2 linked regions of the Macaca mulatta genome follow. The protein of the gene in region 1 purifies or fractionates together with the protein of each later gene. This does not show direct contact. Links are inferred from orthologs where the notes say so. Each region holds a gene or a part of one and is shown on either strand. Other genes may lie near its edges. The genes, in order: SELENOS and DERL1.

Region 1 (4,360 bases):
TCATTGAATTTAGCACATAAATGTTTCCTGCAAGATGCCAGAGCAAGTGAGAAACCACTCTGTAGCAAAGCAAAGAGTGATGGTGGTTCATCATCTTTTACAACTGAAAGGCAAACATGAAGAAGGAAATTATATTCTCTCCCCTAAAATTCCTCATTAAATTGATAAGCTATCTTTACAGCCTTTATGGATGACATCCAGAGTCCTCGGTTTGTTCATTTGAGGAGTCCATTTTCAAGGTGGCCAAAAGGGGAAAAAGGGCTTTCAGGTTTCTCTTTGCTATGGCTCATGAATGCCAGGTCTCCTTTATTGCTTTCTGAACACACTGCTGGGAAACCTTGATGAGGTCAGTGCTCAAATCCCTGCAGCCGTCCCCCTGGAGGAACTTCTTGGCAAACCTGCGTTGAAGAAACACTGATTGCATTCACGCTTCATGTCGGGGTTTGCCTTCCCCACACTGCTCCTGGCGACGGTGGTGAGGCAGCACTCGGATGTTGTCACCTGTTCATTATTTTTTCAGTTCTATTCCCAATTCCTAACCCTTCTTTTGAGACACAACTAGGTATGTGCACTTCAAATGCTCCAGAAAAACCCAAGGTCAAATTTCAAATAGGATGGTTATGGTCACCATAAAGGTGGTGACATTTGAGTGGTGGAAGAGGGTGCAGGACGACATTGCAGGCAGAGGAACACAGCCAGGACACTATTAGGAGTAACTCTGATCGTGGCTTGTGATGATACAGTATAATTCAACGCAGGTTAGAGCCGTTACTATGATCGTTCTTTCCTAAGAAGTTTTGATTTTGGAGAAAAGAACCTTGAGGATCGGTGGGGGCTTTCTTGGCCTGAAAGGTATCACTGGCAGCAGAAGCAGGAGGCTGCCCGTTTCGTGTTTTCACTTGGGGTGGACGTTGGCTGCAACCCTCAAACGCTGGGAGTCGTCAAACTACTGAGCCCTGTTGTCCAATGTGCCCTGGGCAAGGATGTGGGTGCAAATCCTGCCTCCGGGCGACCACCGGCCTCCTTGGCTTCAGTGTCCAATTAGAAAAAAAAAAGAAAGTAGAAAGTCGGTAAGAAATCCGTGAAAGAGGTCTGTCCTCCACCCCGACTCAAGCCAGGAGACATCACAGAACGTACCAGCACGCGACGTCCGGGCCCCAGCAAATGTAGCCGGGATTTTTCCCCCGCCACGCCCCTCGGCCACGCCCCCTGCGTTTGGCCCAGCGTCGGGGCGGGGCCGGCCTGCAATTGGCCGGGACCACGACCGCGTCCGGGCGCGCCACGTGTGCGTGGGAGCGCACCGGAAGCGTCCGGCTGGAGGCGCGGCGGCCGGCCTGGGCGGCGGTGGTCGTCATGGAGCGGGAAGAGGATTCCTTGTCCGCGCGGCCGGCCCTGGAGACCGAGGGACTGCGCTTCCTGCACGTCACGGGTGAGTCGTTGCGGGGCAGCAGGGGCACGCCGCCACCATGATCGGTGGGTCGTCCTTCGCTGCTCGGGGCGCCGGAGCCTGGGAGGCCTGGGAACGGACGGGCGTTGGCGCTTACGCGGACTCTGGGCAGCAGGCCCGGACCTTGCGCGGAGTCTTCTCGGGAGCCGCACTTCCTTAGGCGGCTCGGCTGGCCATTGTTTGCGCAAGTCTTTTTTTGCGAACCAAGCCCTTATTGTTGTAGTTACTGGGGTCACTCGGCCCTTGGCGTTTGCCTCTGGGACCTGCCCCACACAGCCCCCTACACACTGCTAACCCCGCGCTGTCACCCCTTTATATGTGGTTCCCTAGGTCTGAAAGGCCTTTGCCTTCCTGATTCAGATTAGTTGCTCTTCATTCTTCAAAACCCAGTTGCTGTGCCCTGCACACTCTAACTGCCCCCTATTCCCCAGATGGTTGAGAAGTCTCACTTCTCAGTGATCCCTGAAGTGTCGCACTTCTTGTTCATATTTTAACGATCTACTTAGGAGGCTTTGTCCTCAGCCTAGACCATGAAGGCTTTGAGGTCAGGAGTTAGACTGACTTTGCGTTCGTTGAGTCTTATGGAAAGGTCAGCTAGTAGTGTCATTTTTAGTTTTTTTGAAAACTTTTTTTTTGCTTTTCAGTGGGCTCTTTGCTGGCCAGCTATGGCTGGTACATCGTCTTCAGCTGCATCCTTCTCTACGTGGTCTTTCAGAAGCTTTCCGCCCGGCTGAGAGCCTTGAGGCAGAGGCAGCTGGAGCGAGCTGCGGCTTCTGTGGGTTAGTGCCTGATAACCGAAATGAAAGCGGTGGTTTTACACCTACTTCTTTATATTAAGATTTAGTCTCTTGTTAAAAGTAAGACGGACCACATAGCAAGACCCTGTCTCTATTTAAAAAAAAAAAAAATAGCCAAGAGTGGCAGCACACACCTGTAGTCCCAGTGCTTAGGAGGCTGAGGCGGGAGAATAACTTGAGTCTAGGAAGTCAAAGCTGCAGTGGGCTATGATCGGGCCACACAACACTCCAGCCTGGGCAATTGACTGAGACCTTGTTTTGTTTTGTTTTTTTTTCTTTAAAAAAAAGGAAGTATATGGTTCTTGGTTGGGCGCGGTGGCTCACGCCTGTAATCCCAGCACTTTGGGAGGCCAAGGCAGGCAGATGACTTGAGGTCAGGGTTCAAGACCAGCCTGGCCAACATGGTGAAACCCCGTCTCTACTAAAAATACAAATATTAGTGGGGCATGGTGGCAGGCGCCTGTAATCCCAGCTATAAGGGAGGCTGAGGCAGGAGAAATCGCTGGAACCCGGGAGGTGGAGGTTGCAGTGAGCTGAGATTGTGCCACTGCACTCCAGCCTGGGCTACAGAGTGAGACTTTGTCTTTTCTTTCTTTTTTTTTTTTTTTTTTCTGTGAGATGGAGTCTAGCTCTGTCGCAAAGAGCGAGACTATGAGTAGACATTATGAGTAGAAATTAGTTCATTTCTACTCATAATGCTATTTGGAAGGATTTTTCTTTTCTGTAGAAACAAATACTTAAGAATCTTACTTCTGGGCTAATTAAGGGATGGATAATGATTTAGAAAACTTTGTATTTCCTTGGTAGTCTTCCAGGATTCCAGTCAACCTAGAGACTGTGGGTGTCACTGAGGTATCCAAGATGTGCTCTGGCTACCATCCCATGCTTTATGAATCGGAATTGCTCAGGAGAACTCAGAAATTGGCATTTCTAACAGGTTGCTGGTGATGTAGATATTTGAGGCTAAAATCCATGGCTCGGCAACAGGACCCCTGCCCCCTGAAGCAGTAAAATATATGCAGAGGGGTTAGGAGTACTCATGTAAAAACGTGTTTCATTGTCTGATGTCCATACCTCTTTATACTTTTAATAATATGGACACTCAAAAGTTTCTATTTTATATTGTACAGAGTGCTTTGTCTCCATTTTTTTCTGACATTTTAGAACCTGATGTTGTTGTTAAACGACAAGAAGCTTTAGCAGCTGCTCGATTGAAAATGCAAGAAGAACTAAATGCGCAAGTTGAAAAGCATAAGGAAAAACTGAAACAGGTATGAACTGGCTTCAGTTTGAATGTGTACATAGAAGTTGTCTGAGGCTTAGTGGATAATGATGCCTGTGTGTGTGTTGTCTATAAGCTTCCAGGACCAGGTCCTATCCCATTAGATTCAGTAAGCATTTTAGTTCCTGTGATGTAAGTGTTGGTGATATCAAGAAGTATACACTATTGTTAGGGAACACTAGATGTGTGAATATATTACAATGAAAGGTCCAGAGCACAAAAGGAGGGACAGACTGGAGCAGGATGCATGTGAGTGTGTGCGTGCATGTGCCTGTGTCTCCCACATTACCAAAAATGTACTGATAGGAATGAGTTTCAGAAGAATGGAGTCAGTAATTTTTTTCGTGAAACATTTTGCTTTCTTTAATAGTGTACAAAAACCAAAGCTTCTCTATGTGAGTTAAACTCATACCACCAGATCACAACAGTTTTATTAACTAAAGAAAACGAGGGTGAAGTTTGTTCTGAAAAACGTTTAAATTAAGAATTATCAGAGTTAGTGTTGTCTTTGACAGAGATGGCAGCTTCTGAACTCTTTCTGTACAATGTGATTGTTTCTCAGCTTGAAGAAGAAAAAAGGAGACAGAAGATTGAAATGTGGGACAGCATGCAAGAAGGAAAAAGTTACAAAGGAAATGCAAAGAAGCCTCAGGTGACTGGAGACCTCGGCCAGCTGGCATGCAGTAGATAAAGATTGCCAAGTAGAATGTTTTAATTGCTTCTTACATCTGTGTGTGTTCAAACAGGAGGAAGACAGTCCTGGGCCTTCCACTTCATCTGTCGTCGTGAAACGGAAATCGGACAGAAAGCCATTGCGGGGAGGTGGTAAGCACC
Region 2 (3,815 bases), on another chromosome or scaffold:
CCTGTCTCAAAACAAACAAAAAAAATTACTCTAACAAATTAATCCTCAATTAAGTTATACCAGAAAGGTAGACTGCTAAGCACTCAGTATCACAATGGGTCCAACTGGAACAAAGGAGAATAAAAATCACATATTCTGGTAGATTTAAAGATCAAACCCCTGATATGGTGGTGAGAGGACTGGTCGTCAGTTTCACTTCTGCCAAGTTACTTCACTTCCTTGAATCTCCTATTCATCTTTTGGTAAAACTCAGGAAATAAACTAGGTTTCTCCCAATAGTAATAAAATAGTCTATGACCTTATACTTTGTATTAATACAATTTCTTTATTTTGAAAAAGAACCTAGTAGCAAATGCCAATTTAAGGAAAAATGTTACTTGACATCAAATACCCATCCTACTATTTCCCTGCAGTGATGAGGCTGATTCACAATTCTCAACCACATGAACACTGACTTACATTTAAGGGTGGTTCAGAGTTCTCTACCCTGAGGTAACAGCCAGCAAGTTTATAAAGTCTCTGAAGTCAGTCAGCCTTTTCAAAATCATTTAAATTTAACAAAATTATATCCATACTGTAACACAGCGTACTGATGCATTGTTTCTTTAGTGTAAGCGACTCAGAAAAGCATATAAGGTATCGTAGGAAATAAATGACAATTCAGTAAGATTTTTCGAATTTATCCATAATATTACGTAGGTTGGCTGGGCGCGTTGGCTCACACCTGTAATCCCAGCACTTTGGGAGGCCGAGGCAGGCAGATCACTTGAGGTCAGGAGTTTGAGATCAGCCTGGCCAACAGGGTGAAACCCCGTCTCTACTAAAAATACAAAAATTAGCCAGGTATGGTGGCAGGTGCCTATAATCTCAGCTACTCAGGAGGCTGAGGCACGAGAATTGCGTGATCCCGAGAGGCAGAGGCTGCAGTGAACTGAGATGGCACCACTGCCCTCCAGCCTAGGCAACAGAGCAAGACTGCCTCAAAAAATAAATAAATAAATAAAATATTACATTGGTATTCATACCTGATAAACTATTATATATCATTAAATCTTGGTTATATACTGTACTTTAGAGTTGAGTTTTTCAATTGGAGAACAAATCTAGGCTTTTAATTACATAAAATAGTGTTTTTCAACCCCAATCTAGGAGACATATATACTCCAGCCCAATTCTGCACTGAAGGACAAGGACTGCTGCAAAAGAAATGAGTGAGACTGTCAAAATAAATGAGAGGTATACAGCTTAGCCACTAAGGAGATGGACAAGACATGTCAACCTCTGATCTGCTACTTTTTGCATCTATAAAATGGTAACACTGCTACTTATACCTCAGGATGTTGTGAGGATTAAAAATTGAATAAGCTAAGTGCCTGGTGCAGTCCCAGCACAGTCACTGAGCATTTACTATCCATACCCAGTTTCTTTTTGTAATGCTAACTGCCCTCCAAATTCCTCCAAAGAAAACACATAGATTAGTAAATGAGAAAGAAACAATACTTAAAACAACTATGGGTAACATACCTGTTTCAAGTCGTGTAGAATACTGATATAAGAAATACAAATTGACCAAATAAAGAAATCCAGTTCCTGGACCCACAGGGAAATAAAAGGTGGCAGTGATTGGCCTCCAAATCTGTCCAGATCAAAATAAACACAGCTGTTAGTTTCTGTAAGCCTGCTTATTTTTTTCCCTTTTAACTAAACAAAATAAACCCTGCAAAGCATCCTCCTCAATGAGAGGTATGAAAGTGATACTACCAACACAATTCAAGAAAACAGCTGAAGAAAAGTGTTCACACCAGTTACGATCACATCAATTTGCAGATCAATGGAATAAAACGACATCATAAAATAAGCAACAAATATTTCTAAACAAGTTGAAACAAAATCAATACTATATGAGTACATGATCAGTCTTTACTAAGATCAGGCATACAAGTAAGCCTACATCAAAAAATGAATTACAAAGGCTTAATTTCCAACAGTACAGTAATGCCTCTATTTAGGGAAAGAATATTCTAGAATGACAAACCTTGTCCAAAAATGCCACAAAGGCAGAAGTAAAACAACAATTTTTTATTCAAACCAATGCACTAAATAGGCAATAGGGGCACTTTTTCTTTAAAAACATTTCCCTGAAAAAACAAAACATAAGAAGGGTCTAAAGTAATAAGTAGGCCAGGTTCAGTGGCTCATGCCCTGTAATCCCAGCACTTTAGAAAGACGAGGCAGGCAGATCACCTGAGATCAAAAGTTCAAGACCAGCCTGGCCAACATGGTGAAACTACGTCTCTACTAAAAATATAAAAATTAGCCAGGTGTGGTGGCAGGCGCCTGTAATCTCAGTTACTTGGGAGGCTGAGGCAGGAGAATCGCTCCATCTCAAAAAAATTAAATTAAATTAAATTAAATAATAAAGTAACAAGTAAGCCTCATTCCCAACTTCCAGTCTCCCAGTTCCAACAACAGCTGATCAGTGTCCTGTATTTCCTCTAAGAAACACATGTTACTATTACTCATTCTTCTTTATTCTACTCTATATGGCACTGTTTTATACCTTGGTTCATTCCCGACAAAATATTTTAATTGGTTTCACAGTATTCCTTGTATGTGAATGTCTAAACTTTTGTTTAAACTGTTACAATGCCACAATGAATATTCCTGTAAATCCTCTTTATATGTGCATATACAGAATAAGTTCCTGTCAATAAATCTGCTAGAGCAACAGACATAAGCATTTATTTTGGTAGATACTGCCAAATGCCTACAAAAATGTCTGCTCGATTTATACTTCCTCCTAAAAAGTAGATGACTGCCTGTCTTCTCTCCATACTCTCACCATTTCATGTATTATATATTCACCAATCTGAAAACTAATTTTTATTTGCATTATGAGAAGTCAAGCACCTTCTCATGTTTTAAAAACCTGAGAATTTCCTTTATTCATCTGTTCTTCTGGATTTACATTTCTTTTTTTTTTTTTTTCCCTGAGATAGGATCTTGCTCTGATGCCCAGGCTGGCGTGCAATGGCATGATCTTAGCTCACCACAACCTCCACCTCCCAGACTCAGGTGATTCTCCCACCTCAGCCTCCCGAGTAGCTGGGACTACTAGCATGCACCACCACACCTGGCTAATTTTTGTATTTTTTGTAGATACAGGGTCTCATCATGTCGCCCAGGCTCGTCTCAAACTCCTGAGCTCAAGCGATCCACCTGCCCTGGCCTCCCAAAGTGCTGGGATTACAGGCATGAGCCATCGCACCTGGCTGTATTTCTTCAGACATTATGAAATTTCTCTTTCTCATCATTGCAAGCATTTTCTGATCAGTCATTTGACTTTCATGGTATTTTTGCCATATTTTGGCATACAAAGGTTTAATTAAATGTAAGCAAATGTGTCCATGATGTGTCATGTTTAGAAAGTCTTTTTGCTCCAAGAATGTAAGTGTTTACGGTTTTATTTTAGCACTTTCAAGGTGCATCCAAGGAATGAGGAAGAGATCCAACTGTTTTTCTAAATGGTTGCCCTGTTTTCCCAATGCCATTTACAGAGTAACCCTCATTTTTTCCAATTATTTGTAAAACTACTTTCATTGAACATTTACACTCTAGCCTCTTTTATATTAAGGTCTATTTTAACACCATTATGTTTGGAATTGATTCCTATGCCAATATCAAGTTATTTTACTTTTTTTTTTTTTTTTTTTTTTGAGACAAGGTCTCAGTCTGTTGCTCAGGTTGGAGTGCAGTGTCATGACCACAGCTCACTGTAACCTCAAATTTCTGGGTTCAAGCAATTCTCCACTCAG

What was found.
Region 2: the proteins of SELENOS (region 1) and DERL1 purify together in Homo sapiens (affinity purification with western blotting; 6 studies listed by BioGRID and IntAct, with this or other methods). This does not show direct contact. The link is inferred for Macaca mulatta from reciprocal best matches to the Homo sapiens genes SELENOS and DERL1.

The regions. Positions count from the first base shown.
Region 1 is NC_133412.1:91,636,259-91,640,618, reverse strand, and holds the start of SELENOS (selenoprotein S), read left to right. Parts: upstream 1-1,281; 5' UTR 1,282-1,353; coding exon 1,354-1,429; intron 1,430-2,091; coding exon 2,092-2,226; intron 2,227-3,408; coding exon 3,409-3,515; intron 3,516-4,088; coding exon 4,089-4,178; intron 4,179-4,272; coding exon 4,273-4,351; intron 4,352-4,360. UniProt on the Homo sapiens protein: Involved in the degradation process of misfolded endoplasmic reticulum (ER) luminal proteins. Participates in the transfer of misfolded proteins from the ER to the cytosol, where they are destroyed by the proteasome in a ubiquitin-dependent manner.
Region 2 is NC_133413.1:133,452,485-133,456,299, forward strand, and holds part of DERL1 (derlin-1), read right to left. Parts: intron 1,637-3,815; coding exon 1,525-1,636; intron 1-1,524. UniProt on the Homo sapiens protein: Functional component of endoplasmic reticulum-associated degradation (ERAD) for misfolded lumenal proteins. Forms homotetramers which encircle a large channel traversing the endoplasmic reticulum (ER) membrane.